4 linked regions of the Arabidopsis thaliana genome follow. The protein of the gene in region 4 purifies or fractionates together with the protein of the main gene of each other region. This does not show direct contact. Each region holds a gene or a part of one and is shown on either strand. Other genes may lie near its edges. The genes, in order: AT4G34400, emb1796, AT3G45900 and AT1G20590.

Region 1 (8,538 bases), on a different chromosome or scaffold from region 4:
TATTGTAGTAATTAAAGAGATAACAACAATGGGATTGAGCTGGTTAAGGTCTACACCATTATCTCTACTTAAACAGATTTTGGACCATTTTAATGTTTGTTTCTACTTCTTGTATTTTTCTTAATTTTGGTAACAATAACCCACGTTGTTAATTACTCTAATTTTTTTTTTTTTAGTCTTCTAATTTTTGATTCTTTTATAGTTGGCTTAAGAAACTAATTATATGAGGAAAGTAATTAAAGATAATCCGTAAATAAATTTAGTAGCTATAAAATCAAAGTGGTTTAAAGAAGATAGTTGAAACCAGTTTGATTAACAAGCTATTTAGAGTCTAACGTTTCAACTAGTCAGCTTTCCAACAAACAAACAAAAAAAACTCTAATCAGAAATGAGTTATTCAAAGTGGTGTAAATATAAATTCAGGCTGGTAGGTTGGATTTCAAAGCGTTAGGTGACTTAACTTTCGTTAAATTGTCCTCATGTTTACTTCATCTATACAAACTCATTGAGTTAAAAAAACAAATGTTCGCCATGTGAAAATAAATAATAAATTAAGATATATATTTTTTTTTTGAACAAAAAATTAAGATATTTTATGTGCAAAATTTTAGTCTGTAAAAGCGTGCTCTGTAAAGATAGTGACACTGACATGCAATTTGCGAAAATTGATTATCTTCAGGAGAAAATGATTATTTTCGTGCAAAAAGTGGAGCATATCCAAAGAAAGAATTATGCTAAAGAAGAAATCAAAGTTATTCAAGAGAATAGGTTTTTAAAAAATAACGTCAAGAAAGGAGTAAGGACCCACAAAAATGGAAGTATGGCCAAAAATTCACGAAATAAATATCATTCCCTTATCGACATGGTAATGTAACTAGAAAATAACAAATGATCCAAATCAGAGTTTTCAAAAATAATAAAACTTTAGGGTTGGTTTAGTTGTATGTTTACTATGATAATGATTGTTACTATTTTTGGACTCGAAACAGAGTAGCTTGCTCTGTTTTGTAAAGATGAAAGCAAACATTCAATTAAAAAGAAGAGGTTTTCGAAAACGTGACGATAGGACCCACAAAACTGGAATTGAAAAAAAAACTTGTAGGCCAAAAAATTCACAAAAGAAATATCCAACGTCGACATGGTAAACTATAAAATAAATAATGATCCAAGTCAAAGTTTTCAAAATAATCAAACTTTATGTTGGTTAGTATATTTTACTCTGATAATGGAAGTTACTATTTTTGGACTAAAAACAGAGTAGCTACTCTGTTTTATATCACAAAATTCACAATTATTATGTCACAAAGCTTTCAAGGTCATTTCTCACTTCCTCTCACTAATTTGTTCTTTGTTTCTCCTCACTTCTGGTGAAGCAGCTTCCATTTAAGAGAAATCAACAAGCGATATCACGAGGATGAAGAAGGAAGGTACATATTTTATTTAGTTTTCCTCAAAGGTTATATATTTAGTGAATGAGTCCTCTGTTTCTTCTACTTTGATCTTTGTTACAGGAGATTCCGTGGAAACCAGTATACCTAGATTCTTCAGAATTTTCAAGAGAAAATCTTGCCAAAAACAGATTGTAGAAAGAAAAAGCTAAGACAAATATACAGTTTTCGACCTTTCTTTGATTTTTACTCTTTCAAGGATTTTTTTTTTTTTTTTTTTTTCAAGGATTTTTACTCTTTCAAGGGTTTAAGAGTTAAACTTTAGCTCAAAGATTAGATATTGTATTCAGAAATAGATTCATGAGAGAACAAGAGAGAAGGTCATACAATCTGAAGTAGACAATAATGAAACACATAAGTTTGCTTGATCACACAACAAGATGGAAATCAGAGAGATAATTAAGTAGCCAAATCTCTTCCTCTACTCATACTGCTAGCGTCTACAGATCCTTACCGCGGATGACATGGAGTTTGATTGCGTAAACGAAAGTTCCCTTGCGCAAGAGCTCACACAAAATGCGGTCTTCTTTCTTCAACTTGTTCCTCTTGCATATGCGCATCCATCTTTTGATACAAACACGCTGATCCTTCCATTTGGCTGTTTTAGCACTTAGTTTCCCGAACCTGTCGATGTAGTTAACATAGTCTCCAAACCTCAAGCAATAGTCTTTCACCAGTTGTGCATGAACCAACTGTAAAAAAGATACGTACACAAAGCAGACAAGAACGTTAATGAAAACAATCTTTAAGTTAAAAAGAGTAGTAGTATATGAGGACAAGAAGTTGCAGTTCTTACCAGCTCGTATAACCTATTCTTCACGTTTGTCTCGAAATGGATATTCTTAGGATCATCGAGGTATCTCTCAGGATTCTTGATCATGGGATCGACTGTAAGAATCTCAAGAGACAAAAGCATTAGCATCTCAAAAATCAATTACATAATGAAGTGATGGAACTAATTAAGACAACAATGTGATTACCTTTCTTCCTCTTCTTTGCCGCCTCTGGTTCCATAGACAAAGCAATGTTGCATTAAGATAAGCATGGAAGAAATGAAGTTAAAAGTGATGAAAGTAAATGTATTTTACCTTTCCTCTTCAGATTAGCAACCTTATTTGCAACCTTTGGTTTGACAAAAGAGGCAGTGGCTGTGTCTTCTTTATCAGGAGCATAAGAACTGTCCTCCTCACTGATGGAATTCTCTTCAATATCCAATTGACCAAACGTTTCAATGTAATCACTGTCACTGTCCTCCTCTTCGTCTTCCTCGTCATCAGAGGACTCCACAACTTGTTCTTTCTTCTTTCCTGAAAACATCTCAACAAAGAAGACATGATTGTCAATATATAAAACAATCACATAAAGAAACAATTCAAGTTATGCAATGAGCTAACGATGAGTTTAAAACCTTTCTTCTGGCTTTTTGGTATTGTTGGCTTGGCCACCTTGAATTCAGAATCAGTGTCTGTCTCTGTTTCTTCACTGCTTTCAGAATAAACACTATCCTCCTCCTCATCGTCATCAGAATCCTCCACAACTTCCACTTTTGACTTTCCTGCAAACAAAAATCTCAAAAGTCAAAACAAGCAAAATCACATAAAAGCAAGTGATGGGAAAAAAAGCTAACAATGAACCTTTGTCTCTGCCTTCCGGGACTGTATTCTTCATCTCAGATTTAGCACCAGTGTCTGTGTCTTCACTGCTCAGAGATATAACACTGTCTTCTTCTTCCTCTTCCAATTCAGTGACTTCGCTAATCTCTTTACATGCGTCGTAGCCGCGAAAGATACTGACCTCGAATATGTGAGCTCCATTATAGGCAAAGGTCAAAAAGTCTCCATCGTTAAGAGTATTATCCCGAACAAATTTGGGCCATCCTTGTGAAAAAAGCACTTCATCATCCTTTATCTCCGTCGCTACCTTCCAGGAGCATCCACCAGGTCCTCGGAGAATCACAGTCTTGGGGAAACGATGTGGAATGTGATCGTAGTAGGAAACTGGGATCACCTGCTCATTTCACAGAAAAATTGTTTAACTTATAAGCCAAACACTCAATAGATAAGTAAAGACACAAAAAAAACAAGATAACTTTAAGGTAAGTCGGAGAGAGTCATTAAAGAGGCTTTCCACACACAACAAGATTTGGTTTCAACCAAAAGCGTAGGGACAGTTAAAAGAGTCAACTTTCCAGAACCAGACAAAATCAAAGCATCCAGTCTCAAAATTTTATATCTTTCAGCATTTAGAAGCAGAACAAATGTTTCTATTCATCAACAGAAAAAGAAAACAAAATCTGAGCAAAACTACTTTATACTTTGATGAAATTTAGTTCCAGTAACCAAACATATCCAGTGTTAAGTCCATAAATTAAGCTGATTCATACAGAAAGTTTAAATCTTTAGTCAGAAAAAGGAAACCAAAGGGTAGGAATAAGAGCAAAACCCTAGAAACAGAAAAAGCAAAATCTATAGAGGAAGCTAAATGCAGATAAACACAGTGTTTGTTTCATAAAAACCATCAGACATAGTTCAAAGAAACCACTAGGCTAAGAGAATCTACCCAGTTCAAGAATCGTTTGCTCATGAACAGATAAACCTGAAAGAAGAAACCTCGAGAGAAAATCTTACCATGAACTCTGAGCTGAAATGGGAGACGAAAACAGTGAAGAAACGTGGAGGGAGCTGGAAATCATTGCTAGCCATTGAAGAGGCCATCTTGGATCTGTGTGTGAAGAGAGTGAGTGAGAGAGAACGAGTGAAAGAGAAAGAGAAAGAGAAAGAGAGAGAGAAGAGTAAAGAGAAAAAGTAAAGCTAAAATGTTGTATGAAGAGAGAGTACCTTACCTTGACGCTTGAGTCAAATCAACGTTTAAGTTTTTGCAGAGAAAGGAGGTACAATCCTCAGACCCTCGTATTCTGCGTGGCCATTTCAAATTATTTTCTTTTAAACGGTTTGATCTCCCAAACTGAACCGATAATTTATTGCTACTCCGGTCCAGTTCAACCTCAATAACCGTATAAGTAAATGTCTGTTAAACCGGGAAAATTCACTTTATTATTTCTCTATTTTTTTTCCCCTGAAAAATCAATCACATGAATGTATCTTCACACTACTACATATACAACAAACATACACACAGAGAGAGAAACAAACTTATGTAATTTCCACAAAGAAAGAAAGAATTTTAGGAAAAAATATCAAGAGGACGAGCTGGCCTCTATGCTAGTAGTAGACATCTCTTGGAACATGGAAGTTTCTTCAACATGCCACTTGAGAATCTCTCTCGCATACCTCAGTGCATTGTCCACAGTATCACTCTCCAAGCTCACTTGACAAACAAACAATTTTGGCTTAAAGCTCCTTCCACGCATATTTACGGGTTCCAAGATTGAGTCATAGAGTCTCTTGAACTTATATCCAATGTAATGGAAAGCACGCTGAGCCATTGGAGGGTTGTGTCTGCTCGTCTGGTTCTGGCTGATCAATGGGTTGAAGTCTTCAAACCACTCACAGGTTCTTAGAGGAACCTCTTCGATCTTTTCTTCTAGGAGATCAAATTTGGTTAGAACCAAAAGAAACCTTTTGTTAGCTAGGCTCGGGTGAGTCACCATGTTCTCGAAAAGCTGTTTGGTTGCAAGCATCTTGTTCACAATATTCCCCTCACCGTCTTCTATGTTTTCTGCATAGTCTGTTAGTGAGACACAAAATATCACCAAGTCAGCGTCTTCAAACATTTCCAGCAATTTCCAGTTTTCACCAAGGCTTCTCGGATTTAGCCGGATGAGTTGGTACCTAAAGAGAGAGAGAGAGAGAGAGAGAGAGAGAGAGAGAGAGAGAGGGTAAGTTCAACGGTTTTTCATATAGCCGGAATGCAACACAAGGAAAAAGAACAGAACTAACTTCATGTCTGTATCATGTTGATAATCGCTCTCAAGAGACTCTTCTTGAGAAGTTGATGGGAATGAGAAGTCCACACAAGAAAGTCCTTCCATAGAGGAGAGTCCTTCCGCTTGCAATATGTCCATATCAGAAGGATCGTATTCTGATCTCGAGATCTCAAGAATCTGAGAAGAAACAAATTTGGGTCAGTCATCTTTTTCCCCTTAAACAAAAGTGTTAAGGTCCTGAAAGAGCGTTTATATATGCAAGCAGGCAACTTGATGTAAACTTACTCTTTCAAGAAAATAAACGGCGTTCCTGGGAAGTGTATCGCGAAGTCTTTTGTAGGTGGCTTGAATAGCTGGTACTCTCCAGAGATCTGCAACGGTTTGAGCATTCTCACGGCTTGATGGTGGAAATATCTTCAGGTTTCCGTCTTCCTTTTCTTTCAAAACCCAATCTGAAAAATGTTTTAGTCTCGGGTTGATCGAGTTACCTGGTTTTGCACTGGTTTCATCTCCCACATTGCCTAAATCCCAAGAACTCGATCAGTCTTCCTCAATAATCAATTGTTAACTGATGTTTGTATTAGAATATGAATGCATTCTTATTCTAATAGTTTGTACAGTCAATAATAATTACCTGAAGACTGGTCATTGCTCATCTCTTTTTCAAATCTTTCATGTGCCTCAAGAACCATTGCCAGATAGGTATAGAGATTTGTTTGGATTATGAATTTGATTCTTTCACGGTCTTCTAAAGAGAATGAGACGTTGTAGAGAGACCTTGCCTGAAACAGAAGAAGTCAATTCCCGATTCTTTACTAGATGTGAAACATTCAAGTGGGAGGCATTAAGATGAATAGCTCACTTGTTTGTAAATTGTAGTGGCGCCACCTTTTTCGCTACCAATCAAAAGAAGCTTGTTAAGCATCTTCTGCTCATATAAGGGCACATCATATGGTTCTACTGCAGACGAAGCCGGAGGAACTGGCAGAGAGAACACAGCGCAAGCAATTTTTGCTCTCTTCTGTAAAAATAATATCCTTCGTTGTCTTTAGTTTTATATTTAATGTTGTGAACGAGAAAAGCTGGTGATCAGGAAACCATACCTTACTCCAGATGTTCCCGATGGGATGCTTTTGACCTTCTTCTCGGTAAGAACCATCTGAATCGACCCAAAAATGAGGTTTTCCTTCACATTGCACCCCCGCCCACTACATCAAAGCAAAGAAGCGCTCAGTTCAGAACAATGACACATACACTAAGCATATTTGTTATCCAAAACAAAGGTGAAAAGCAAAAGAACCTTGAGCATCGTGAGCTCTGGCTTGGTTATTTCCCGGCCATTAATATAAATTTCAGTGTCTCCATTGCTTACTTTCTCACTGATGTATCCTCCTATGCTGTTGTTAGGACTTATAATCTGACTAGGTTTCTCTCCTATCTGATTAAATAAACACATAGAGGCTCTGATTTAGCTGAGCACTCAAAATACAATCCCGATAATAGATACGCAGACATATATAAGAAACTGTACCTTTCCCCAGTAGCCAGCAACCTTATCATACCAATAGTGTCCGGGTTTTAGCTTCTTGGGTGGATTTGGACATGTCTGCAACGTGTAAAGCTCATCTTCACTTAAAGGCTTGTCATTGACAATGATAAGTCGTGAAGGCAATTGATTCGCCTTGCAGGTGATCTCGGCATTCATGACTTGTCGAAGTTCAGAATCCGTGAGATGGCGCTTGAGCATTCTTGAACACTTTCCGAGACTTGCTCTCTTGGACTCATCAATCCTATAACCAATGCAAGCTTGACACTTTCTTCCTTCGGGCATCGCACCCATGGCTCTGCGCACACAGTTGAAACAGTATTTGGCATCGCAGACAATACAGACTTCCTTCTCAGTAAACCGGTTCCCCAACTGGCACCGGTAACACGATCCTCTTTTACCTTTCCTTTCAGCTCTATGCGTTGCAGCTATACTTTCTCCATCAGAAACATAGGAGCTCTCATCACATTCACTACTCTGAAAAGGTTCAACGAATCTCACTGCTCTAGGTCCCACATCCGAAACTCTGTCATCATCTAAGTGATCCTCCTCTCTCGCTGATGCAGACAATGGTGATGATGGTGATAACCGAAAATCAGCAGGACTTTTCACTTCTTCTGGTACATCCAACCTCTTTGATGATGATGATGATGATGAGCCAGAAACAACATCACGCCCTATCAAAACCACACTAGAACCAGCTGCAGAGTCAACGAAACCGTTCTTCTTCTCTATTCCAGAATCAGGTGGTCTCTTGGTATCCTTAGTCATAACGAGAGGTGCCACTGGGTAAGAGATACCACTCCGCAAGGAAGAAAAGGAAACGGGAAGAGCCGTAGGAATCTGATCAACTTCAACGGGAAGAGCTCGTGGCACATTAGCAATAAGAGGACCTTTATACTCACTGGCGAATGAATATTCGATTCGATAGCCACTACTTGTTTCATCATCATCGTCACTTTCTCGATTATCCCTTTTAGGATTCGGTGATGGGAAAGGTAATAACTTTCTTATAACTGCAGCCATCTTCTTACCCAATCAAGCACACATACAAACCCAAAAAAGCCCTAATTCCTAAAATTCCCTAATTTAGAAACTTAACAACTTATCCGAGAAAACGAGAATTCATGAAGTGATAATATACAGATCCTAAGCCATTAGTGGCTTAAATAATCAAATCACAAAGCGCGTGAAATAAGAACGCAACTACAGAAATATAGAAAAAATTGATCACAGAAAGCTCCTTTAGCTTAAAGAAAGAGACGAAATTTAGTTTTTTTTTCCAGGAAAGTGGCGATGGAAGGAAGAAAAATCAGCAAATAAATTTTCCGGGAAAAGGGAATTTGCAGAAGAAGTAAACAAAAAGAAGAAAGACAGAAAGATGGGTTGGATCGTATACACTAGTAAAAGACGAGGACTTGACAAAAAAAGGGGAAGACTTTCTCTTTGTTTTTTATTTTCTCTGCAATCAAAAGGAAAAATGAGTTATTTTCCGGGAAAATTCTTGCCGTCAACGCGGGTTAGGGGAGTTGAAAACGATGCGTTGCGAAAGGCGTTGATGGAGTCAAAGAGAGAGGGCAATTTCGTAAATATATCTTCGGTCCTGCAATAATGTTCGCATAACCCGAATTACACGGTTAATAGAAAACCGGAGGTGT
Region 2 (8,169 bases), on a different chromosome or scaffold from region 4:
CTTCAAATACCTCTATCTGAAAGTTTTATATGGCTAACATTGGTCTGTTTATGTGTTGGTGGTGCCCCAGCCAATGAACACACCCAGATGAAAAAAAAGCAAGCAAAGAAGCATAGAGCTCGGAGTTACAGTGACCCTTGCTTCTATAGGAAGCCTATTTTGACTATAAGTAGGAAGCCTATTTTGACTATAAGAACTTGTTTCCAGCTAAGTTTTTGATAGATTGCTTCCATGGAATGCATCTTATCAGATATACTAGATTTTAATAAATTTCCTTGAAGGGTAGTAGATCGGTTAGTTTTGGTTATGCTGTTTCCAATCTCTGTCTGTTTTGCTTTTGACTTGACCAGTTTGCTGTGTACATAATCAATCTTCTAGGCTTTCTAATCAGATGCTCAGTTTCTATTGCTTCATGTAGTTGGAATACAGTCTTTCCTCACTTCAAATCTTTGTCCCAAATGGATAAGATTTACAATTTCTTGTTACGTATATAATGCACCAAATTGAGTAATAAAGAAATGATTACATAGACCATCCACTAAAACAAATGTTCTACATAGCATGTTAATTTGAAATCAAAAGCAAACATGGAAAAAAGATTTTGCAAACACCTGCATTATAGCAAAAGATTAATCATAGCTTATTGTCCCAAACAAATCCCTAATTACATAAAAGTTGAATGATAAGAAGATAACTAGAGTCTAATGAATTCAAGGAAAAAAATAAGATCAGCAGGACGGTGGATCCTGACCATTGGATCCACCTGCTTCTACTCCTTTAGCCATCTCCACCACATCGGCTTCTTCAACACCACCAGCTTCGTTTTCCCAAAGCAGTTTTGCGGTTTCTTTCTTTTCTTCCACTGCTTTTGGAGGAATTAATGCAGCTATGTTAATACTTTGAGCCTTCTTCTTCTCTTCTGCATCTGCTAACTCTTTCGCCTTTGCCTCTGCTTTCAATCTCTCTTTCTCTTCCATTAGTTTCTCCAGATCTCCCTCTCTTCCTCCTTTCCTCAGTTCTTCTTTCACAAACTCTTGCAGTTCCTCACTCACTCTTACCGTGTCATCATCCAGCATCTCATCCACAATCTTGAGCATCTCGTCGAGTCTACCAGCTTCACTTAACGCCCTCATGATGAATTTGTAAGCCTCATCGTCCATCTTGAGTTTGCTCACCATCATATCGAAGAAAGATTTTGCATCGTCGAGTTTCCCAGCTTTGATCAACTGATCTTGCAAACGGTTATACACAGCCAAATTTGGTCTTAGATTAGACTCAACCATTGTTTTGTAATACGCAGCTCCTTCATCTATCTTACCTTCCTTGAAACAAGTATCCATTAACAAACCATATGTGTACTCATCAGGCTTCACATTTTTCTCTTCCATTTCACCATAAAGCTTCTCAGCCTCAGCCAACAACTCGTTGTCACACAGCTGATTCATCAGATTGTTGAACGATAAAGTATCAGGACTACACTTAAAATCACCCATTTGCCTAAAAACCTCCATAGCTTCCTCAAACTTTCCTCCAGCACAGTACCCATTAACCATCACATTAAAAGTTCCCAAATTTACAGCCAAATGCCTCGGTGGATTATGTTCCTTTTTCACCGCATCAAACAACTTCAAAGCCTCATCAAACTTCCCATTCTCACTCAAAGCCTCCAGCACATAATTATAAGCCATAGCACTCATCCTAACCTTTGAATTCTCTCCAACAGCTTCCTCATAACACTCCATAGCCTCTTTCTCCATCTCCTTCATGAAATACCCCTTCATCAATTGCCCATAAACCACACCATCATCAACAAACCCACCAAGCTTCTCCTTTAACTCCTGATAAAGCTTTAACACACCATCAGCATCAGAATTCTTCACACACCCCATCATTAGATAACTATAAACAACAGGATCCACCACAAAACCTTTAACAGCCATATCCTCTTTAATCTCCATTGCTTTCTCAAGATTGTCATTACTAACTAAACCCTTAACTAAAATCCTAAAAGTAGCAATAGAAGGATTCAATGGAGCATTATCTATAAACAACTTGTAATGCTCCAACGCAATTTCAGGTTTCCTTACATCAAGATAAGCCTGGAATATCAAATTGTATGTGATGATATTAGGTGCAATACCAGCTTGATTAATGAATCCATGCAATTGCAGAAGCGCTCCATACTTAGCTTGTCGAAGCTGCGCCGCTAAAACAGTATTCACAGTGAAAATCGTGGGACGGCAATTCGAATACACAGAGTGACGAGTGTACAGAGCAGCTTCTTCTAAATCATTCTCTCGGATCAATTTCAGGATATGATTATGAAGATCGAGACGTTTCCCAACGAGAGCAGAGACAGATTCAGGTAATTTCGGGATATTAGGGTTTTGAATTGGTCGAGGGATTTGAGATTGTTGTTGCTGAGATCTGTTGAATGAATTAACCGGTGGCTCCATACGAAGACGACGCTTACGACGGCGACGTTCAGCGGCGGCTTCTTCCTGAGTCGCGAATGACATGTATCGGACGGCGAGAAATGGCTGCGGCAGAACACGGTGGCGGTAGGATCTTGATAGTGTTTGAAGGTGGTTTAAAAAGGCGGCTTTAGAAATCGACATGGTTGAAATGTTTGAGATTTTCTGAGTGGAAAAATGATTCCTTTCAGAGGAAATGAGAGAGATAAGGGTTCTTGTTAGGGTTTTAGGAGTTTGGAGATGATGATGATGAGGTTTAGGGATTGTTTGGGAACGTGGATAAATATGCTTGGGCTTGGCTATTTACGTTTGGGCTTTATTGGGCCATAAGCTCGATTTTTGGAGGACCCATTCTTGATTTCATCATATAATTATAATTAAATATTTTTAAAAACTTTCTTTTTCTTTGGTTAGGAATCTGCATTCTGCACAATGATGTAACAAAAAAAGAGCGGAATACGTTGTGCGTAATATACGCGGTGCCGGCTTATCTATAGAGGCCGGCACTTCGACCGGCCCATATCTCTCTTAACGAGAAATTTGTTGTACCACATCCGTAGTAATTTTTTTTCTATCTTATAACTGTTATTTTATAAATAATTTATCCATTTATTATTGTATATTTAGTCCAACGAATAAGAGAACAGGTCTAAATTTTAAATAAAATACTTGTATTTCATGTATTTTTTTGTTTGGGTATTCAGTTTTTACAAAATTTAGTACAAGAAGAATACACAGTATAGTATAGCAAAAGTTATTGAATCTAAATCTAAGACAAAATGGTCCAACAGATATTTGAAAAACGTGGAAAACAAAAAAAACAAAAAGATATTTGAAAAGCAAGCTATGGATTATTGACTCCAAAATCAAGTTAGTTCCGCGCTACTCATTTATTATGTGGCTTGCGTTCCTGGGCAGATTGCCTACTAAGGACAGGTTGCGGGGCTGGGGTATTAACGTCACCTCAGCTTGTGTTCTCTGTTCTGCTGGCATCGAGACTCATCGATACTTATTCTTCGAATGCCCCTTCTCTTCCTCTGTTTGGGAAGCTTTAACTTCTAAAGTTTGGCGCTTGCCACCCTTGGATCTTCTCTCAGTCTCATCTTAGATTTTACAGCGCAAGCTCCAACCTCAAACTCTCTCTTCTGTCATCATCAAGCTCATCGCTCAGGTTGCGTGCTATCTCATTTGGCGCGAACGAAATGCAAGGATCTTCACCAACATCTCCACTTCGGCTTCTGTGACTAAGGCTGCCGTGGACCGCACCGTTAGAGACCGCCTTCTATCCTTCCCTGGTCCTCCTTCTTCTTCTATTTCTCTTCTTAGTTTCTACTTTGGTTGTATCTCCTTCCCTTTCTAATTGTTGCTTTTTTAAATAAGCTGTTTCAGCATTGTAGAGAAAAAATTAGAAAATTGGTATAAAATTTAACTTTTTACCAAAAAAAAGTTAGCCAATATATATCCGTAGGTAGAACAAAAGGTCTCCGTGAAAATGAATAGTTTTTTTGAACATATTCACTTTTCTTTCCCTCCTTGTTATATATTCTGGTAAGTAATTTGTTAATCTATCTGGCTTGGTATCTGAGATTAATTTGATCGATTCTATACAGTCTTTGGAATTTTGGAAATATACTTCTACTATATAGTAATAACAATTAAATTATTCCTAACTTTAAAGGTTGTAGAAATAACATTACCTAAAAATAGAATGGTAGAGAGTCGAAGTATATTGCAGCACGAGTCCATCTCGCAAGTGATGAACCAAGTGACCGTCTATCCGCAAAAACCCAAAAACAGCCATGTCCGCCTGGGTGTCACTTGACATGCGAGTATGCGACTTAGCATTTGCATTTGTGTATTATATATTTGGACCTTTGGTGTAATGAAAATATAATCTGAATTTGCATCAATTTTAAGTTTTAATGAATGATAAATTATAGTAATGTATAACGTAAGAAAGCATTTTAATTGGAAAGTGACGAAAATGATGTTTGGTATTCTTTGTTAAGTCGAACATGACTGGAACATATGAGTTCCCAAAATCGTGGCCCCCACAGTGAGTGTCGGTCGTGGGCCGTGACCTATGGACTTCAATCACATGAGCTCCTCTCTCCGGCTCTCACCACTCATCACCGACACATCCAATTCATATTTGTTTTTTGAATGTTTGAATTATTTTGTATCCAACATTAAAATGTGTGAATACAAAAAAAAATCCAATAATTTTCGAAACATTTAGTCGGTTAAACACAATAATGTTGCTTGAGTCTGGACTTTTAGCCCTTCTTTTGACACACAAAAGAAGCATATAAGTTACGTTTAATCAAACTAGTTTAACTTTTTATGCATGGCATATATATCACACATCAGTCAATAATTACTTCTTCACTGTCAAGAAAACAAGGGAAAATTATCCTCGAGTGTTCATCTATTATTAAATAATACCTCTGGAGAGTGGAGACATTACAATTAAAAGTTAAAATATACTCATATATATTGGAATACTGATATGTCCATTAATATAAGGACCGTAAGAATGAAACAATTCATCGGAAAAATAAGCATTTCAATTTTTTCTCTACCTATATGCTTAATCCGGCCAAGAACGAAACTCCGGTCGATGGCAACCACGAGGAACCGTATATAAATTCTGCCACAGTGAACCGGTTTGCCTCGGCCGTCGAATTGATGACCCGATAACCCGGCCAGCTCACACGTTGCCCGAGACCCGACCCAGGTCCACTGTTCAAATACTCTCCATAATACAAAGTATCTAAAGCAAATGTTGTGTTCCACTCGAGCCAACCTCTCGTGTGTACATGACCACCGATATACGACATCATATACACTGTCCTAGAGAATAGCTTCCAAGGTCGGCCTAGATACGTCTGTGTACTACCGTTTGTCGCTTGGAGATCGGATGCTGCAAGAACCCTAGACGCATGTATTGATATTCCGGTGTTTTGGTTCGGATCTTTTCTGTTTTGAGCCGTGATTGTATTTTTCTGAAAATCCATTGGCTTCCGTGCGTAGATGCTACAGTTTTGTAGTACGACGGCTGCGTTACCAAAGATAAAATCGACTGTACCGTAGATATCGCATTCACGAAAGAATTGGCGGTTTGAATGGACGTAGAGTGTGTCTTGGTAACCGATTATATTGCATCGGTAGATCACTGCGTGGTCAGCTCCGATGCGGAGAGCCACGGCTTGGTGCTTCGCTGGACCGGCCCAGTTTTCGAATGTGATGTCCCTTGCAATAAATCCAGCTCCGGTCGCAGCTGGAAAAATTAAAGCAAGAAATTAACACACAATTATGTTTTGTATTTACTAATTCAACTAACTTTATATATAATTAAACTTAAAAAAAAAACTAGTATGTGAGAAATGTCGTTACCTATAGAAATGTTGTATACAAGTGGTCTATAACGCGTTCAACTAAATAATGAGCTATGACCCACCTCCAACTTATATATGTAAATAAATGCTACTATTCTCTGTCTCCTATCATGCATGTTTATATATATACAAATATGTGTGGTCAGTAATTGCGCGGCCTACTTCGAACCTTACGATACGTTCATATTCTTTTATATGTGTATGCATTTTCCATGTGTGCGTGTCTGTATGTATATTTGTTTATACATATGTGGAGCATGCATTTACTATGTTACATAAGTGGATGTGAGGAATGAATATTAGATGAAGGTAAAGAAGTATATAAACTTTGTTTGATCAAAAGAATGTTTTATGTTTTCGATTTGATTTGAGTTTTGTGCATTTAATGAACATTAAAAATCACAACAACATGCATGTGAGTTTGGTTGGATAAGCGGCAGCATCACATAGGATGTCCAATTCAGTGTAAGTGTGTTACCTAACCGAATTCGAACGTACATAGTCCTATGGAAAAGTCAATATTCCAATAAATAAAGTTGGAGTACTATATAGTTATCGAAAAAGCATAAAGATCAGTTCAAATTTAAGTTTCTACATAACTGAGTTGAAGATCAAAACTGAAAAAAGGATATACAAAAAGTTGGTTATATATAATAAGGTTTCTGCTGCAAAATTTTATGATACTTTTATATGAGAATTGGAATTTTTAGATCGTGTTTTTCTCTTAAACTAAACAAACACGTAAACTTACGTAAGAACTACAACTTAGGTGATTAGGTCTTAATTCAGCATGAGCAAGAAAAAGTTGGTCAAAATTAATTTAAAGTTAGTCTGCCATGAGAAGGTTCCTGAGTTGAAGTAGTAGAAAACGGGTGAATGACGTTTGTTCTAAAACATGTTTCTTTGAAAAAAATCATTAAACAAAAATTCTGACCCCCAATTTTTTTTTTATTAAAACGACTACTGAGTGCCTTGGCAAAAAAGTTTGAGAAAATACCAAAAAACACAAAAGAAAGAAAAAAATTCACAGTTTAGAAATTTAGTGGTCTATAATATTGACTTTGTTTACTGGTTCGAGTACATACTACTACTATTTACAAGGTTTACTTAAATATAGCTTTCTTTAGTGGTCCATAATCCATATGAAGAATAAAAACAAGTGGTGTTAAATCTTTTATCAAAAAAAAACACAACACACACACAAGTGGTGAAAGACAACTAATATTCGTAAAAATTTCTGACTATAGGAGAATCTATTGGACACTTTTTTAAAACCCTATCACTCCGAAATCTATAGACAGCCTAGCTCATGGCCCCCTTCACGTATCTGATTCCAATAATTCTCCTCAAAGTATATATATTTTTCCTTCTTAACTTATTTATATCAATACCTTTTTCAGTAACAAATATGTACAACAAATAGTTTATATTAAATCTATAGAAAAACGACATTTATTATATCATAAATGTTGACCCTCATAGCTCCTTTTTAAGATTTTAATTAACACAAAAAGATCTTTTAACTTTTCTATTATATCACTAAAAAACGCTTCTGATTTTCGACCACCGAAAAGATTAGTGTATCAATTTATAATTCTTGTACATGTTTCATTGCATTAATACGTGTTTTGCTTTTAACTATTTATCATGATTGTTGTATTATTGCAAAAGAGTTCAAAAAGTGAAAAAAGTAGTATAGTAAAAACTAAAAAAGGAAGAGTGAGGTTAGGAAAAACTCACCAAATGACGCCGTGTGGAAAGTAGTGATGTTGTCAAATATACTTTTGCCTCCCGAAATAACAGTTTTACCCTTGCCATCTCCAACGAACATCAAATTAATTTTTTTCCTACCGACCTTGAGGTTGTTCTCTTCATATCTTTCCAAAAAAAAAAAAAAAAAAGAGATCACAGACACAGTCAGAGATACGCAATTATTAAACCTCCGTACAGGTTTTTAGTTTTCACTTTCGTCTCACGGACATAACAGTTAAAAACATCGATTAATACGAAGGGTAAAACAGTCATTTTACCTTCCGGCCTTGACGTAGATAATTATCCGGCGAGTACTGTTCTGAGGAGCTTTCTTGATAGCTTCCGATATAGTTTTGCACGTGCCGTTACCGTCTTTCGATACGATAATATCAGCTTGTATCTGAGATACCGGCATTTCCAGTATCTCGCGTTCTTTTGGTCTCATCCATCTCGGGAATTTCTCTTCTCGTTCCTCCACTCCCAGCAGCCTCCTGTTCTGTATTGGAACTCCGGCGAAATCGTCACCGTCGTGACTCGCCGAGAAT
Region 3 (8,525 bases), on a different chromosome or scaffold from region 4:
ACAAGAAACCAAACTCATTGAAACTTATTAATCTAAAAATCTCACAGACTCGGTGGTAAGAGTAATTAGCTGCCGGATACTGTTCGATATAGAGACGGTGAACATCAGTCGGAGGAAGAAGAAGGAAATGTTTCTCCCCTGAAACAACAGCGTAAAGATTCTCATAGTGATCTTTATGAAATGAAGTCACGGAGTCATCAGTACCAATCCAAAGGTTCACAGCTTCCGGCGAACAACCAAATGCCTCCGTAGCCCACTCAATATCACCGTCGCAGTCTAACGCAACCGTCGAATACTCCGTTCTAAAACAATCGTTTTGCTGTTGCAAATACCCAACCTTCAGTCCTTTACACGACGATTGAACAACCTTAAGAGCCTCCGGGAACAGAACTTTCTCAACATGAGCCGAAGCGAAACAAAGATCACTATCTCCGGTGACGGCGTCTGCGCAGCCGTTAGGAGTGAGATGTAGCGAGACAACGTCATCTGACAAAGCTCCGGTGAGGTAAGCCGGATCTGACCAGAGTTTTAACGCCGGCCAATGAGTAATAGCTTTGGAGATTACACAAGGCTTGCTCTGAGACACGTAGTTTCGGAGAAACTTCACCGGAGACGGTTGAGAATCAAAACGATCGATTTTAGTTCCTAAGCTCAATTCTCTCACTTCTCTCCATAAATTCTCTATCTCTTTAGCCATTGACGAAAAAAAATTGGCGGGACAAAAAATTTGGGGGTTTTAACACATAACCAAGAACCCTAATTTATATTTAAAGAAAAAAAGAAAAAAAACTGTTTTTGTTATAAAAATAGGATTTTTGAAATAAACTTGTTTCGAAGAGGAAGAAGAAGATGAGTTGTTCTTATCTACTTTCTGGTGACGCTTCCGTCGTCGCTTCACGGCGGTGGAGTGATGTTTCTTCCCGGCAGCGTTTATTTCTCCCACGGCAATCACTCCGGCAGCCATCGGGTTCTTCGTTTTCCCGATGCGTCCGATTAGTCGCTAATGTAAATGATCATTTCAGTAAACAATCACTCGCGACGAGAAATTGCTTGGCTTCAGTGTTTAGTGCAGACTTGGGTGGAAGTAACGGTAATAATGATAACGGAAATGGCGGCGGTGGCGGAGGAGACGGCGGCGGCGATAACTCTGATGATTCTTCTTTCGATTTGAGATACCTCTGCTTTCTTTTATTGGGCTTGTCTTGCTTCTTCCATTTCCGATTATCAGCTGCGTCCGCCATAGCTAAAGATCAAAATTCGGATAGTAATGGAGATGCTGTGAAAGAGACGGTTTGGGAAGTGAGAGGAAGTAAAAGGAAGAGACTAGTTCCCGATTTTGTCAAAGATGAGTTCGTCTCTGAAGAATCTGCTTTTGAATTATCATCTTCTCTAACTCCTGAGAATCTCCTAGCTCAATGTAGAAACCTTCTCACTCAATTCCTTCTTCCTGAAGGTTTTCCCAATAGTGTAACTTCTGATTACCTCGATTACTCTCTCTGGAGAGGTGTTCAAGGTATTGCTAGTCAAATCAGCGGCGTTCTTGCCACTCAGGTAGACGACTGAGCTTATCATCTCTCTTAGGCATTTTCACAAACACTTGGTGTTCATTATATTGTGTTGGTAGTCTTTGCTTTATGCAGTTGGGTTAGGTAAAGGAGCAATTCCTACAGCTGCAGCTATCAATTGGGTGCTTAAAGATGGAATTGGGTATCTTAGTAAGATAATGTTGTCGAAATACGGACGACATTTCGATGTTCATCCCAAAGGATGGAGGCTATTTGCTGATCTTCTTGAAAACGCTGCTTTTGGTATGGAGATGCTTACGCCAGTCTTCCCTCAGTTTTTCGTTATGATCGGTGCTGCTGCTGGTGCTGGTCGATCTGCTGCTGCATTGATTCAGGTTCTGTTCTTGTCTCTGAAAGCTCTATTTGCATAGCTCTAAGTGCAGCATTTGTTATAGTTTAGTATTTTCTATTGAACTTATCATTTACTTGTCTGCAGGCTGCTACTAGAAGTTGCTTCAATGCTGGCTTTGCTTCTCAAAGGAACTTTGCTGAGGTCTACAATAATTTTTATATGGCCTTAGTCTTGATCACTTATCAACAGCTATTTGTTTTTCTCAACTATTCTGGGTCTCTAGTGTATGCATCAACAACTTCTTTTGTAGGTAATTGCCAAGGGTGAAGCTCAAGGAATGGTGAGCAAGTCAGTGGGTATTCTGCTAGGAATAGTGGTTGCCAATTGCATAGGAACCTCTACAAGTCTTGCCCTTGCTGCATTTGGAGTTGTGACTACAATCCATATGTATACCAATCTCAAATCTTACCAGTGTATCCAGCTCCGGACTCTAAACCCATACCGTGCAAGTAAATCCCACTCCTGCAGACGTCCAATTCATTCAAATCGTCTTACAAGACGAAAATAACATCTCTGTTTATTTTGCAGGTTTGGTTTTTAGTGAATATCTAATCAGCGGCCAAGCTCCTCTAATCAAGGAGGTCAACGATGAAGAACCGCTCTTCCCAACAGTTCGGTTTTCAAACATGAAATCTCCAGAAAAGGTAAAAGTGTTCATTCACCTTATTATACACTCTGAGATCTCTTATCAACTAGTTTAAAATCTAAAAACTTTCTCGGATGAACAAAACAATACTTGATGACCTGATTGATTGATTCTTAGTATCTGCTCTATTCAGCTGCAAGATTTTGTCTTATCATCAGAAGCAAAAGCAGCAGCCGCAGACATAGAGGAACGGCTTCAACTAGGGTCAAAGCTCAGCGATGTTATCCACAACAAGGAAGAAGCAATAGCACTGTTTGATCTATATCGCAATGAAGGCTACATCCTTACAGAACACAAAGGAAGATTCTGCGTAAGCAATGATAAACCTTCTCATAATTATTATTACCCAGCGGAATCTCTCACCATTCTATCTCCTCTTGTAATTGTCAGGTGATGCTCAAGGAAAGCTCAACTCCACAAGACATGCTCAGGTCATTGTTTCAAGTGAACTACCTCTACTGGCTAGAGAAGAATGCTGGGATCGAACCCGCAAGCACTTACTCAGACTGCAAACCCGGTGGTCGCCTTCACATTTCTTTAGATTATGTGCGACGAGAGTTTGAACACGCCAAAGAAGACAGCGAATCAGTAGGTTGGGTCACTGAAGGACTGATAGCTAGACCTCTACCAACCAGAATCCGTCTAGGTCATGATCGTGAACTATTATTATCTTCTCCAAACAGCTCATAAACTCAGAGCAAAACCATGGCCAATGGATGATGTATTAGATCCCATTTGACTTTTCGGTATAGGTTAGATACATTGTTCTCTGTTCATCTGCTATTGGAATGTAGTGAGCTGTTTAGAGATTTACATGTCTCTCAAGTCAGAAGATCCCTAAATATCATATTCCAGCAAAACAATGTTGCATAGTATATATCATATATGTGAACATTATCTCATTGTGGCTTGAGATTCTAATCTGCTTTTTAAAATTCATTGCGACTAACAAACATACCTGACATTTTTCACATTTGACCCCACAACATTTGGAATGATTAATAATATAACACAACTTGCTTATTTATCAGATCAAACCTAGACTTCTACACTGATCTTTAGCAGGTTAACACAGTTACAGACACACATACATAAGGCAACAGAAACAAAAAAAAAATGGCGAGTTAGTCTTAAGTGATAGAGAGATTTCTGATTCTACTGAACAAAAGGGTATCGAGCAACGTAGAATTCTCTTACACGTGAAGCCCCGTCTCTAGCAAGTATACCTTCAAGATCTCCAATAATTCTAGCCAGCCAAATCTCCAAGTTTCTCTGAACTTCTTTCAAGTTGTTCTTGATCAAATCCAATGACCTCCCTGTGTTCATCTTGGCTTGGCTTAACTGATCTCCTTGATTACTCCTGGTGATTTCCGTCTGCAATGAAACTAGCTTCTGCCCTGTCTCCGATGCCCGTTGCTGAAGTCTGAAACACTCGAGCAGAAACTCGTTTTGTCTTTGCGTCCTGAACTCAGGTCCTAATGTAGCATCGCACGGATCACTACTCTGCTGAAAACATAAATTCCATGAAAGGTGTAAGGAGTAACTCAAGAATGTGTTGTAACTTGTAAGCAAATCACTCATAGAGACTAACCATTCTTCTACATAGATCATCGATCTTCCCTGAAAGAGCTTGATACCTCTTAGCCTGTTTTTTCAACAAAGACGGAACTTTCGATATGTCACTAGGACGACAAACTTTCTCAAGATTCAGTAATTCCTCTTCAAGCAACCTCAGTTTCGCAGATACACCCGTCCCTTCACTATCAATCTTCCATGGTGATTCCCTTCTATGCAATCAAAGACAAGCTATTATACATCACTCATCATCACAATCACAATCACACATTCTCAATTCAAAAACTCTCTATTACCTTGGCACAAAATGCTTCATACGATACACAGATTCCAAAGATTCATATTGTAAATCCTACAAAAACAGAAGCAAAACTTGAAAAACCAAACACACAAATTCTTCACTCTCATAATTAAGAAAATCAAAATCAAAACCTGGAAAGGATTAAAATTGCCATAAGCATTAGGTGATGGTGATGAAGATAGAGTGAGATGATCCACAGCATAACGTTCACTGGACTCATCTCCTTGTCCATCATCATCATCTTCTTCCTCAATCTCTCTTCGAGACATAAACCCAATCATTTCATCTCTCTCACTCACTTCCCTCTCCAATTCACTAATCCTATTCATGAAATCTTCTCTTTCTTCTTCAATTTCATGAATCCGATTCAACAATCGTTTCTCTTCTTCTTGCCAAGCGTTTCTATGACTAGCAAAGATCTCGACCACACGCGCGTTAGCTTTCGAATCTTCCACGCGCCGAGATTTCATCTGACGGACTTGTTCCTCCGCCGTCGCGAGTCGCCGTTTTAGCTCGGTGACTTGAGATGTTAATCTCGGGACAAGAGAGATTGCGTCGTTTGGGAGATGAGCTAACATTACTGAGAAGCTTAAAACTAGAAATGATTTTGCTAGTTTCTTCAATTCATCATGCTCTTTTTCTTCCTCAACGAAGCTTCTCATTCTCAATCTCTCTTCTTCTTCTTCAGGTTTCGCCATTTTTCGTGACCGCAGAAAAAAAGATACTAAGAAAAGACAAAATTTTATTTTTTGTTCTCTTGTTTTCAATCTATCAGCAAAAACGGTAGGACATTTTTTTTTGGCGTATTAGCGAAGTTGGATATAAATCAATATCTGATATTGACAAAATGATTAAGAACTAGCAGTTGACAAAAAAAAAAAAAGATTAAGAACTAGTAGCATATGAAGCTACTCTTTAATTGTCTGACTTTTGATAATAAAAGATCTAATTACTAACTTGGAATATTTATTTCTTTAATTTCTTAATATTCTTATAATGTTTTATCAAAACAAAAATTATAAATCAAACATATGAACAATAAGCAAACAAGTCAGATTCTTACCTCAGTCAGTTTTGACACACCATCAAACCATAGTACACGTTTTGTTGCTAAATCCTTGAGATCTTTGGGAGCCTTTTTGGTGTGAAACAAGATTATCTCAAATGCGAGACTCGTGATATGTGAGACGTCGGTGTGAAGACGAGAATCTGAGGAAATTAGGAGCATTGGGCTTGGATTACGCTCCAATGCCCTTGAATGCATAGCCTTCCCCAATTCAATATCGGGAAAACCTTTGCGGTTTGCATTGGATCTCTTCTTGGTCTTCGTAGGCGGTTGTGAGATATGAACCTCAACACCGAATCTTCGAAGCATATCGATGACTCCTCCATTAAGTGCATTGGATTGGACGAAGAGATCGAAATCCAAGATACCCCAAGACAAGTAAGATCCCAAAAACCTAATAAATTAGAGAAAGTACCAGATTTATAAACTGGAGAAACTTTAGAACTAAAATAGAAATATTGACAAAAATTAAGGATTGATTAATTATCGGGACTAGGAGATCGGCACGCCTAGGAATAGGTTGAGAAACTCTTCGACGAGGAGGACTCGGCGGTGGCTGCAGCATAGAGATCCTACGTGCGCGTTTGGATCAAGAAGTAAACATGTCCCAAGATTCTCCCATGACAAAAAGGTTGTGAGACTGCGGATTTCTTCAGGGATAGAATTGTTTCCAACAACCCAGATCACAAACCCATATTGTTCTCGAGATAGGTTTTGGACCATTTTAAAGAAGTCCGAGGTTAGGAGCAGAATGGCAGCAGGAGGGTCATTCTGAGAGTCTTTGCATCATAGTCAAGTCTGAGAATTCACGATCAAATCTTAGATTAGAGCTCTGTTCACTGAAATAAGTATTTAAACAAACTAAGCAGAGACGTTTTTCAATTCATAATTGTGACAATAATCAGTTATCTGCTAATCGTTAAAACAAAACAAAGGAACCAAGCTCTATGATTTTATTCTTAGAAAGACTTTTACAAGACTCAACTAGATGACCTATTCAAGTGGATCTTATAACAAAAGAGACTCTTAATCAAACGTGCATTGACTACTACAACTTAGGATGACTTATTCAGACCAAGCATAAGCTAAACGACTTAGTTATATTCTTCATAATATGCTTTCTTAGTGATCAACTGAAATACAACTATGATAATTATAACGTGGTCTTACCTGGATATTTCTTTGGGTATTCTTGTGATTCAGTTATGTTCACGTCTGATCGATGAAGACGTTTAATAAGGGGTTTGTTTTCTGTGAAGAACTTTTTCCGGGCATAAGCATACGGACCGGATGTAGAACCCACATTGAGCCATAGTTTGTTTCACATTGTCAAGAACCGTTTTCAACCTCAATTCCTTATGGATGTGAACATTTTCTACATCCCACAATTCCTTAAGAAAAAGAGTCAAATTTGATATACTGATCCGAAAACAATTAACAAAATTTTTTTTTGTCATAACATTGTGATAGACTCATGATTAAAGTTTTATGTACTTTTTCTTGTTTTATGTACTTCAATAACATTGTGATAGACTCATGATTAAAGTTTGGATTGACATCAACTAAAAAAGATCTGAAGAGTATTCGTACAAAAAAATAAAAAGATAGCAAAAATTGAATGTCATTGAAGTCAACACTTTTGGATTTTTTGTCATTGCATATATCAATATTAGAGAAATGATGTGTCTTGGATGATTTGAAAATTGTTCAACTTAATTATAAATAAACTATTTATGGTTTTATATATTCTCCAGATATAATACTCTAACAACATTATTATAGGCTCATGATTAAATATATAGAATTGATATAAACTGGATAAAATTTTAAGAGTATTCATATGAAAATAATAAAAAGAAAGCAAAAATTAAAGTATCATTAAAGTCAATACTTTTAAATCTTCTATCATTGCATATAATAATATAATATAAAAAAATGATAATGTATTACATTATTTGGTAGGTCTAATTATATTTTTCAATTACTATTATAATATATCACAATTTTATTCTAAAATATATAATATATAAATTTTGTAATAAATAAAATTTAACTCATATTGTAGTACGGATGATGATATAGCTATAAGTTTAACCCATATTGTAGTACGGATAATAACCCATACTATACTACTAGATCTAAAAACAAAATTATCATTATGAGTTGAACAATGTACGTATAATTCATCTTGCTATAAATTTTCTCAACCACGAAAGAAACTTCGTGAACATATTTATCAAACATATTCTTACGAACGCTCTGAATAAATTAAATACTATTGGTAGGTTGCTATAGCTCCAAAAGAAAAAGAAAAGAATGATAAATAAATAAAAGTAACATAGATACTAGTATGTTGCTTAAATAAAAAGAATCGTAAGATCTCTCTAATTTCAACCTCTCTATCCTTGTGTCTATGGATTTTCATAAATATTTAATACAAACCAATATTAAATATGTTTATGAAGCTCCAAATCAATGCCATGGAGGATGCCGACAGAAGGGTGGATGAAGTCTAATTATGACGCTTCACATAATTTCGGATATGGACAGCGCAAGATATGATTGTTTTTGGATGGATTATACCGACTCAAATGGAGTTGATGCAGAAGAGGTTAAATATAGTGCATTAATCTTTGGGATTTTAGTATGTGCTACCTATTTGAAACTATAGTACTACACTTTGAAAGGAAACATAGAAAACCCTAACCTTCACCATTACATTAAAACACACAGGAGCTAGTGATTATCGAGAGTAACAAATGTGTTGATCTATTGGCTAGGATCAAAGCGAGATCAATATGTAGAAGAAATATTATTATCCAACAATGTCCAAGTTTTCTTTTCTTTTTTAATCTCGTTAGTAAACAATGATGACAATGAGGATACAAACTGATGTCAAAATAGATTTATGGAAGCAGGACCGTGTCTACTAATGTTGTAGGCACTATACATGAGTGCCAAAATGGCCAGTTTGTTAATAGCTACATAAGGGTTATGTTTTTTGTGTAACCTTAAATTTT
Region 4 (7,387 bases):
ACTGTTTTTTGAACCATAGGTTTCGTTTCAATTTCATTGTTTGATGTTAGTGCTGTTAAAACCCTAGATTTGGTGAGCTGGGCAAATTTGCTGGGAAATTTTAGATTGCTTCTTATTTTAAGTTCTAAGTGAGATTAAGAATCCTTGAAATTCATGCTGTATAAAACCCTAGAATGCGTGATCCTGCCAGTGACATTAGATAAATTTTGACTGTAGGGTATAGTCTCCTCTGATTGGTTAAACTTATTATTGATCTATAGGACACATCAATAACTGAGAAGAAAGGTTCTACGTTTGTGCTTTGTAACGTTTTATCCAAAGCCTAAGTTGCTCTTTAGGAATACAGTGGTCAAATGTGAATTATCTGAAGTATGCAGGTCTTAAAGCGTCCTCTTATTTGCGGATTATTGTGCCGTATGGGTTTTGAGTCAACCTGTAATTATTGGGAAAAGAACTACATGTAGTTCTCAATTCAGAAAGTCTTAACTCTTTAAGTGTTATTCTTCATAGTATACATAAATAATCTGTCAACTTAATGGGTTTGTTTGTTAATTGTCACTGAACTTTTGTTTTGGGTTTTCCAATGCTGTGTTACAGGATGGTAAGGTATCACAGCTTGAGCATGTCTTCATTCGAGGCAGTAAAGTCAGGTGCTGTACTTGTTTCCTTGTTTATGTAATTCATGGGATCATTCTTGTTAACCCTAGCTGTTTAGTAATTGACCTGCGGATATATCTTGACAGGTTTATGGTCATACCAGACATTCTCAAACATGCTCCAATGTTCAAGCGGTTAGATGCTAGAATCAAGGTATATATGCTTTTTGAACCCTGGATGCAGAATGATATTAGGATCTCTATACATATCTCCAACAAACATCTTACCTTACTTGCTTAATCAATGTAGGGAAAGAGCTCATCACTGGGTGTTGGCAGAGGTAGAGGTGCAATGCGAGGGAAAGTAAGTTCACCCTCTCTCTCTTATGATTTAGTGCTCATGAATGCAATGTTAGGAAGTTTTATGGAACTTGTTAAGATGTTCAAATCCTTGTTATCCCTTAATGGTTTGTTTCTTCTTTGTCACTACTAATGGTTAGATTCTTGAATCTTTGTGATATTATCTTAAAGCCGGCTGCCGGGCCCGGGCGTGGAACTGGAGGAAGGGGAGCGGTACCACCTGTGAGGAGATGATTGATTTTACGCTCAACATGTAAGCTTTGATTCTGGGATAGTCTTTCTGTGATATCCAGGTGAAAGCCGCCTTTCTTGGTTCTGTCATTAATGCTTTAGAGAACACTGTAAAACCAAACAAGAGAGAGAGATATCCAGATGCACTACTAGTTCTGTATTTTGGGTTACCAAGATGTTTGAATCATTGACAAGTTTTCGTTGTGATCTATTTTCTTCTTTGCGCATTCTCCATTTCTGACAGTAGATGAGTAAAACAAAGTACATTGTTTTCATAAAGGTCTTAATAAGACTAAGATCAGAAAACAAAGTTGGTCATTTATAACATTAATAATATAAGCTAGAAAATAATATTGTACTTGTATTTTCAACATGTAAAACCTTGTCTACTGCTATTTTCCCAAATTATCCAAAAAATTTCCAAAATGACTTGTACAATATTTAGTCTATAAAAGTTTAGTTCCAGAGTACCAGCAAACACCAAAACGACTTGTAGAAGAATATTTGATGGAGTGTAGAGGTTCGGTTCCTGAGTAATATTAACCAAAATGGGTCATAGAGTTTCCTGAGTATTTTACAACGATTATACATGAAATTAGTAGGATCAATTCACAAGTTGAATATAGGAAAGCATGATATCAAAAGATTCTTTTTATTCTCTCTCAAGTGAAGAAAGATCTTAAAGACCTTAAAAAGAGAAGAACCGAACCAACCATTGTACATATCCCATTTGGGCAACTTGCTCTATCTCTCTTTCTCTCACACTCTTTTTGTTCAAAAGAAAAACTCGAGTTATGTCATATTAGATTCTTATTATAGTTTTTTCCTCCCTTAAAGCAGAAACCCAGCTGGTTCACTTCTTGCAGCATGAAAGAACTTAGATGTGTTGTACTTCCTGTGAGCTTCCCTGTTCCTGCCTTGTGATGAAAAGCAACCATCTTTCTCGCACATGCCCTAGGAAAAAACACAAAACCCATTGTCAGGATTCCAAAATCTCATGTCATCGGGTTTTCAAAAAAATTCGAAACAATCAATGTATGTTCTTACAGTAGCTGTTCTTCGTTGTAGCCTGTGTGAAACTCACAGGTTTTGCTCCATTCTTCAAATCCCTTAAGTGTACACTGAGCAGTGTAGATTGCTGAGGCCGCCAGCTTAGATGGAAGATACTCTAGCATCTCATACTCCACAAGGCAAAGCTCGATCATAAAGAATGATAAAATCTCAAGCTGACACCACAATTGCATATACCACACCGATTTAGATATTAGGCCTGATGGTTTCCGGACATAATGATTCAAGCTTTTTTAGTTAGGGAGATATATACCTTCTTGTCAGATTGGGCAGCTTTGAGAAATCGTTTCATGAAAACATATGGAGTTGGTAGAGAGAAATTGAATTGCAAGGTGTTGGCCATTAGCTTCTCCTGCAATAGAAACCAAAAACAGGTAAATTCAACTATGAAGCATCAACCAGTGGTAGTTAATGATCAAGACAAAGTTGTGTATTCACCATATCTAGCACTTCTCTTCTAGAGTAAGCTTTGTCAGAGATCAAGATGAGATCATCTACCACTGGAACTGAAACTTCTTCATATTTACATGCGAGCAACAAAGCAGTAACACCAACAAGCTGAAGCTTTTTCCTCACGATTTGATGAACCGCAAGGAATCTGTCGATGACAAAAATCTTCTTAGTTTTTCCCTAAAGACAAGAATGAACAAACATAACTTGTATTGAGATAACAAGAACTCAAGTTACATAAGAAGTCGTTCAAGTAGAGCATATACATGTATGATATAGAAATTTATACGACATGGTATCAAGAAACAGAGCTTTTTATTATAAAAAATTCATCATCAGCTATTAGAGAGGTCTCTAGTCTATATCTCTCATTGACGTTTTTGAAAAACAGAGCAGTATTTTTACAGAGTTAAAATAATTATTTTGTCGATTAAAAAAGTTAAATGTGTTTTTATTAATTACAACTAGATGAACACCCATGCGTAGCATCGGTTTTTGTTTTTTGAATTGTCGGAAAAATATGATTATGGTTTTTTTTTTATTTTGATGTTCAATATAATTATTACTATAATTCATATCTATTTAATATAATTATTAATTTTTATGATTAGTTTCATCTATAACTCGAAATATCAATTCTACTATAATATGAAAATTTATATATCTATTTTTCTAATATTTAACTATCATAATCACATACAACAACAATATATGATAGATTGATAAAATGAATGTAGTTATATTACTTATGTGTTTTGAAACTTGTCTAACTTAATTATAACAAACAATTTTTTATTCCATATATTTTTTTGTCATCTAGTAAACAATCACATCATGATATGCTAGTAATTTAAGTCAACACTTTAATTATTTTCTTTTGCATATAACAATATAATGTCTTATGTTTTTTTTGGTATGTCTAATGTGTCAGATGACTATTACGTGAAAAAAATTGTTTATCAATATTACCAAGTTATCAGAACGCACAAAAATATACAGAAAGAAGGTCATATGATAAAATCATATTCACAAAACGTAATAATAAAAAAATATCTAACTAAAATTACTAAACTAATATGAGGTGGCCAACTTTCATATATATGATTTAAATGGAAAATCAAAGTATAAAAGGAAATTGATTTGCTAGAAAGAAGGAAAAAAACAAACCCTATAGATAGGTTCTTCAGCAAGGTAAGATAGAGAGAACGTGAGAGATCGATCATGGCGAATTCAACAGGTAAACCGACAAGTTCAACACAAGAAGATGAAGAAGTTACATACATATTAGCACAATTGATGCAAGATGTTATGGATCGTGAAGAGGATATAGATGATGAAGACGATATAGATGATGAGGTTGCGTCCCTTCCATTATTACTAGTAAGCCAAGCTAATCAAAAGCAGTCTAGGAAGAGGGAAGAAAAAACTGAAAAAAATCAACCTAAGAGGGTTAAGAATCAGAACATCATGAAAATAAATATCCATGACTTTTCAGAAGAAACTCTGAGGTTAATTGAGGATTGGTACAACGCTGAACTCGATCCACAGGATATATTCGGCGATGATGAGGTGACGAGGCGATTCAGCCGACCGATAAAGAAGCAGTTGATGTCGAGCGACGTCGATACAGATCAAAGCAGGCTCATGTTATCGAAGGAGCAAGTGAAGGAGAAGATGCTTCCTTTTCTAGAAGAATCAGAGGATCCGGTAAAGGGGGTTGATGTTTCGGTGTATGGACCAGACGGGGAAGTTCAACAGATGAAGTTCAAGATGTGGAATGGGGATAAAACACCTGTCTTAACTTCAGGGTGGATGCAGTTTGTGGCAGATTATGGTCTTTTGAAGACTTCTGATTTTGTCACTGTTTGGATGTTTAGGCACATAAAGACTCGAAAGCTTTGCTTTGCTATTCACTACGTTACATTTTCTTTAAGAAATTAACTAATCGAGTGGGATGATCTTGAAGACTACTGCTTTCTTGAATCCAAATTAGGGTGAGATCTTCAAGAATTAATACAGTGGTCAAATGTGAATAGTCTCAAGTATGCAGGTCTTAAAGCTTCGTCTTCTTTGCGAATAATGTGCTGTATGGGTTTTGAATGAACCTGTAATTATTGGGAAAGAACTACCTGTAGTTTTTTAGTTCAGAAAGTCTTTAACTCTTTTAATGTGTTATTGTTCATAAGTATTCATAAATAATCTGTCAACTTAATGGGTTTGTTTATTAATAATTGTCACTTAACTTTTGTTTTCGGTTTTTCATTGCTATGTTACAGGATGGTAAGGTATCACAGCTTGAGCATGTCTTCATTCGAGGCAGCAAAGTCAGGTGCTGCAACACTTCTTAGAGAACACTGTAAAACCAAACAAAGGAGAACAAGAGAGATATGTCCAGATGCACTACTAGTTCTGTATTTTGGGTTACCAAGATGTTTGAATCATTGACAAGTTTTCGTTGTGATCTATTTTCTTCTTTGCGCATTCTCCATTTCTGACAGTAGATGAGTAAAACAAAGTACATTGTTTTCATAAAGGTCTTAATAAGACTAAGATCAGAAAACAAAGATAAATTGAAGGAACAAGATTATGAAATACTAGAAGTAATGATTATATCCTCCTTCAATAAAGACTGCAATACTGTAGACTTTGAGTTGTCTAAATAACGTAGTCTATATGGTCATTTATAACATTAATATATAAGCTATAAAAGAATATTGTACTTGTATTTTCATCATGTAAAAACCTTGTCAACTGCAATTTTCCCAAATTACAATCCAAAAAATTGCCATGTACTTGTAGAATATTTGATAGGGTCTAGAGATTCAGTTCCAGAGTACCAAAACGACATGTAGAAGAATATTTGATTCAGTCTAGAGGTTCAGCTCCCGAGTAATATTAACCAAACTGGATCATAGATTTTCCTGAGTCTATACAAGAATCGATTCACAAGTTGAATATAGGAAAGCATGATATCAGAAGATTCTTTTTATTCTCTCTCAAGTGAAGAAAGATCTAAAGACCTTAGAAAGAGAAGAATACACTCTTTTTGGGCTACTTGCCATGATATCTAAAGATCCATTCTTCTCCCATTTTGGGCAACTTGCTCTACTATCTCTCTTTCTCTCACACTCTTTTTGTTCTAAAGAAAAACTCGAGTTAAGTCATATTAGATTCTTATTAATATTAAATCAGAAACCCAGCTGGTTCAGTTCTTGCAGCATGACAGAACTTAGATGTGTTGTACTTTCTGTGAACTCCTGTGAGCTTCCCTGTTCCTGCCTTGTGATGGAAAGCAACCATCTTTCTCGCACATGCCCTAGAAAAAACACAAAAACCCACTGTCAGGATACCAAAATCTCATGTCATGGGGTTTTCAAAAAAATCAATGTATGTTCTTACAGTAGCTGTTTTTCGTTGTAGCCTGTGTGAAACTCACAGGTTTTGCTCCATTCTTCAAATCCCTTAAGTGTACACTGAGCAGTGTAGATTGCTGAGGCCGCCAGCTTAGATGGAAGATACTCTAGCATCTCATACTCCACAAGGCAAAGCTCGATCATAAAGAATGATAAAATCTCAAGCTGAAACCACAATTGCATATACCACACCGATTTAGATATTAGGCCTGATGGTTTCCGGATATAATGATTCAAGCTTTTTTAGTTAGGGAGATATATACCTTCTTGTCAGATTGGGCAGCTTTGAGAAATCGTTTCATGAAAACATATGGAGTTGGTAGAGAGAAATTGAATTGCAAGGTGTTGGCCATTAGCTTCTCCTGCAATAGAAACCAAAAACAGGTAAATTCAACTATGAAGCATCAACCAGTGGTAGTTAATGATCAAGACAAAGTTGTGTATTCACCATATCTAGCACTTCTCTTCTAGAGTAAGCTTTGTCAGAGATCAAGATGAGATCATCTACCACTGGAACTGAAACTTCTTCATATTTACATGCAAGCAACAAAGCAGTAACACCAACAAGCTGAAGCTTTTTCCTCACGATTTGATGAACCGCAAGGAATCTGTCGATGACATTGATTGTGAGATAAAGAGTTTCCTCCATCAGTTCAAACTTGTAGTGCACCTGGACAAGATAATTTTCCAGTCAATTTATCTTCAGGCACATTGAGACAAAAAAAGTGGCATTAAATAGCTTTTGTCTAGATCTGTCTACCTCAATTAACCAGTCAATGAGGATTCCTCTCATTCTCTCATTAAGATCTTGTTGATTGTCCATATAGTTAGGAGGCACGCAACTAAGTTTCTGCAGAATCATAAGAATGAATCAAACATAAGTACAAGATTTTGAAACTACAATCCTTTCGATGATAAAGAACACAAAAGCAAAAGTTGATGTGAAACAAGACAAATTCACCTCAAAATTCTTGTAGAAGGTATGCATATCATGGATATATTCAACCGCAGCCAAAGGATTATTCTTATCACAGGCATCAATATCGATCACAGGCTCTTCTTCTTTGTCTGCATCTTCCATTTCAATCTCCTTCTCCTTTTGAAAGACACAAACAATATGAGTAACTATATTAACACTTCCATAAACAAAGCAAAGAATGGTTAGGAAATATGTATACCATCTGTTCAATCTCCTCCAGCATTGCTTCAGTATGTTGTACAAACATTGGCTCATTAGAGTCACCTCCTTCTTTATCACTTTCATCC

What was found.
Region 1: the proteins of AT1G20590 (region 4) and AT4G34400 purify together in Arabidopsis thaliana (affinity purification with mass spectrometry, with the first as the bait; one large-scale study listed by BioGRID). This does not show direct contact.
Region 2: the proteins of AT1G20590 (region 4) and emb1796 purify together in Arabidopsis thaliana (affinity purification with mass spectrometry, with the first as the bait; one large-scale study listed by BioGRID). This does not show direct contact.
Region 3: the proteins of AT1G20590 (region 4) and AT3G45900 purify together in Arabidopsis thaliana (affinity purification with mass spectrometry, with the first as the bait; one large-scale study listed by BioGRID). This does not show direct contact.

The regions. Positions count from the first base shown.
Region 1 is NC_003075.7:16,440,947-16,449,484, reverse strand, and holds AT4G34400 (AP2/B3-like transcriptional factor family protein), read right to left. Parts: upstream 4,345-8,538; 5' UTR 4,286-4,344; intron 4,278-4,285; exon of another isoform or gene 4,170-4,277; 5' UTR 4,163-4,169; coding exon 4,076-4,162; intron 3,456-4,075; coding exon 3,083-3,455; intron 3,004-3,082; coding exon 2,857-3,003; intron 2,756-2,856; coding exon 2,537-2,755; intron 2,453-2,536; coding exon 2,429-2,452; intron 2,337-2,428; coding exon 2,245-2,336; intron 2,141-2,244; coding exon 1,889-2,140; 3' UTR 1,712-1,888; downstream 1-1,711. Other genes in the region: XLG2 (extra-large GTP-binding protein 2), read right to left, coding at 4,645-5,239, 5,348-5,511, 5,620-5,855, 5,969-6,116, 6,197-6,355, 6,438-6,542, 6,635-6,772, 6,866-7,906.
Region 2 is NC_003074.8:18,250,535-18,258,703, reverse strand, and holds emb1796 (Pentatricopeptide repeat (PPR) superfamily protein), read right to left. Parts: upstream 2,744-8,169; 5' UTR 2,619-2,743; coding exon 729-2,618; 3' UTR 501-728; downstream 1-500. Other genes in the region: DMS3 (defective in meristem silencing 3), read left to right, coding at 71-91; AT3G49230 (uncharacterized protein), read right to left, coding at 3,797-3,854, 4,172-4,299; AT3G49220 (Plant invertase/pectin methylesterase inhibitor superfamily), read right to left, coding at 5,057-5,754, 7,613-7,749, 7,903-8,169.
Region 3 is NC_003074.8:16,870,848-16,879,372, forward strand, and holds AT3G45900 (Ribonuclease P protein subunit P38-like protein), read right to left. Parts: upstream 5,237-8,525; 5' UTR 5,138-5,236; coding exon 4,571-5,137; intron 4,491-4,570; coding exon 4,435-4,490; intron 4,351-4,434; coding exon 4,155-4,350; intron 4,070-4,154; coding exon 3,719-4,069; 3' UTR 3,254-3,718; downstream 1-3,253. Other genes in the region: AT3G45880 (2-oxoglutarate (2OG) and Fe(II)-dependent oxygenase superfamily protein), read right to left, coding at 50-697; RUS1 (root UVB sensitive-like protein (Protein of unknown function, DUF647)), read left to right, coding at 850-1,551, 1,625-1,900, 2,002-2,058, 2,168-2,366, 2,446-2,561, 2,697-2,873, 2,954-3,253; AT3G45910 (uncharacterized protein), read right to left, coding at 5,491-5,899, 6,035-6,228.
Region 4 is NC_003070.9:7,129,182-7,136,568, forward strand, and holds AT1G20590 (cyclin), read right to left. Parts: upstream 3,285-7,387; coding exon 3,114-3,284; intron 2,889-3,113; coding exon 2,697-2,888; intron 2,611-2,696; coding exon 2,512-2,610; intron 2,414-2,511; coding exon 2,235-2,413; intron 2,142-2,234; coding exon 1,985-2,141; downstream 1-1,984. Other genes in the region: AT1G20580 (Small nuclear ribonucleoprotein family protein), read left to right, coding at 598-650, 744-810, 907-960, 1,128-1,190; AT1G20600 (AP2/B3-like transcriptional factor family protein), read left to right, coding at 3,930-4,571, 4,985-5,056; CYCB2;3 (Cyclin B2;3), read right to left, coding at 5,892-6,024, 6,108-6,286, 6,385-6,483, 6,570-6,791, 6,882-6,971, 7,083-7,217, 7,300-7,387.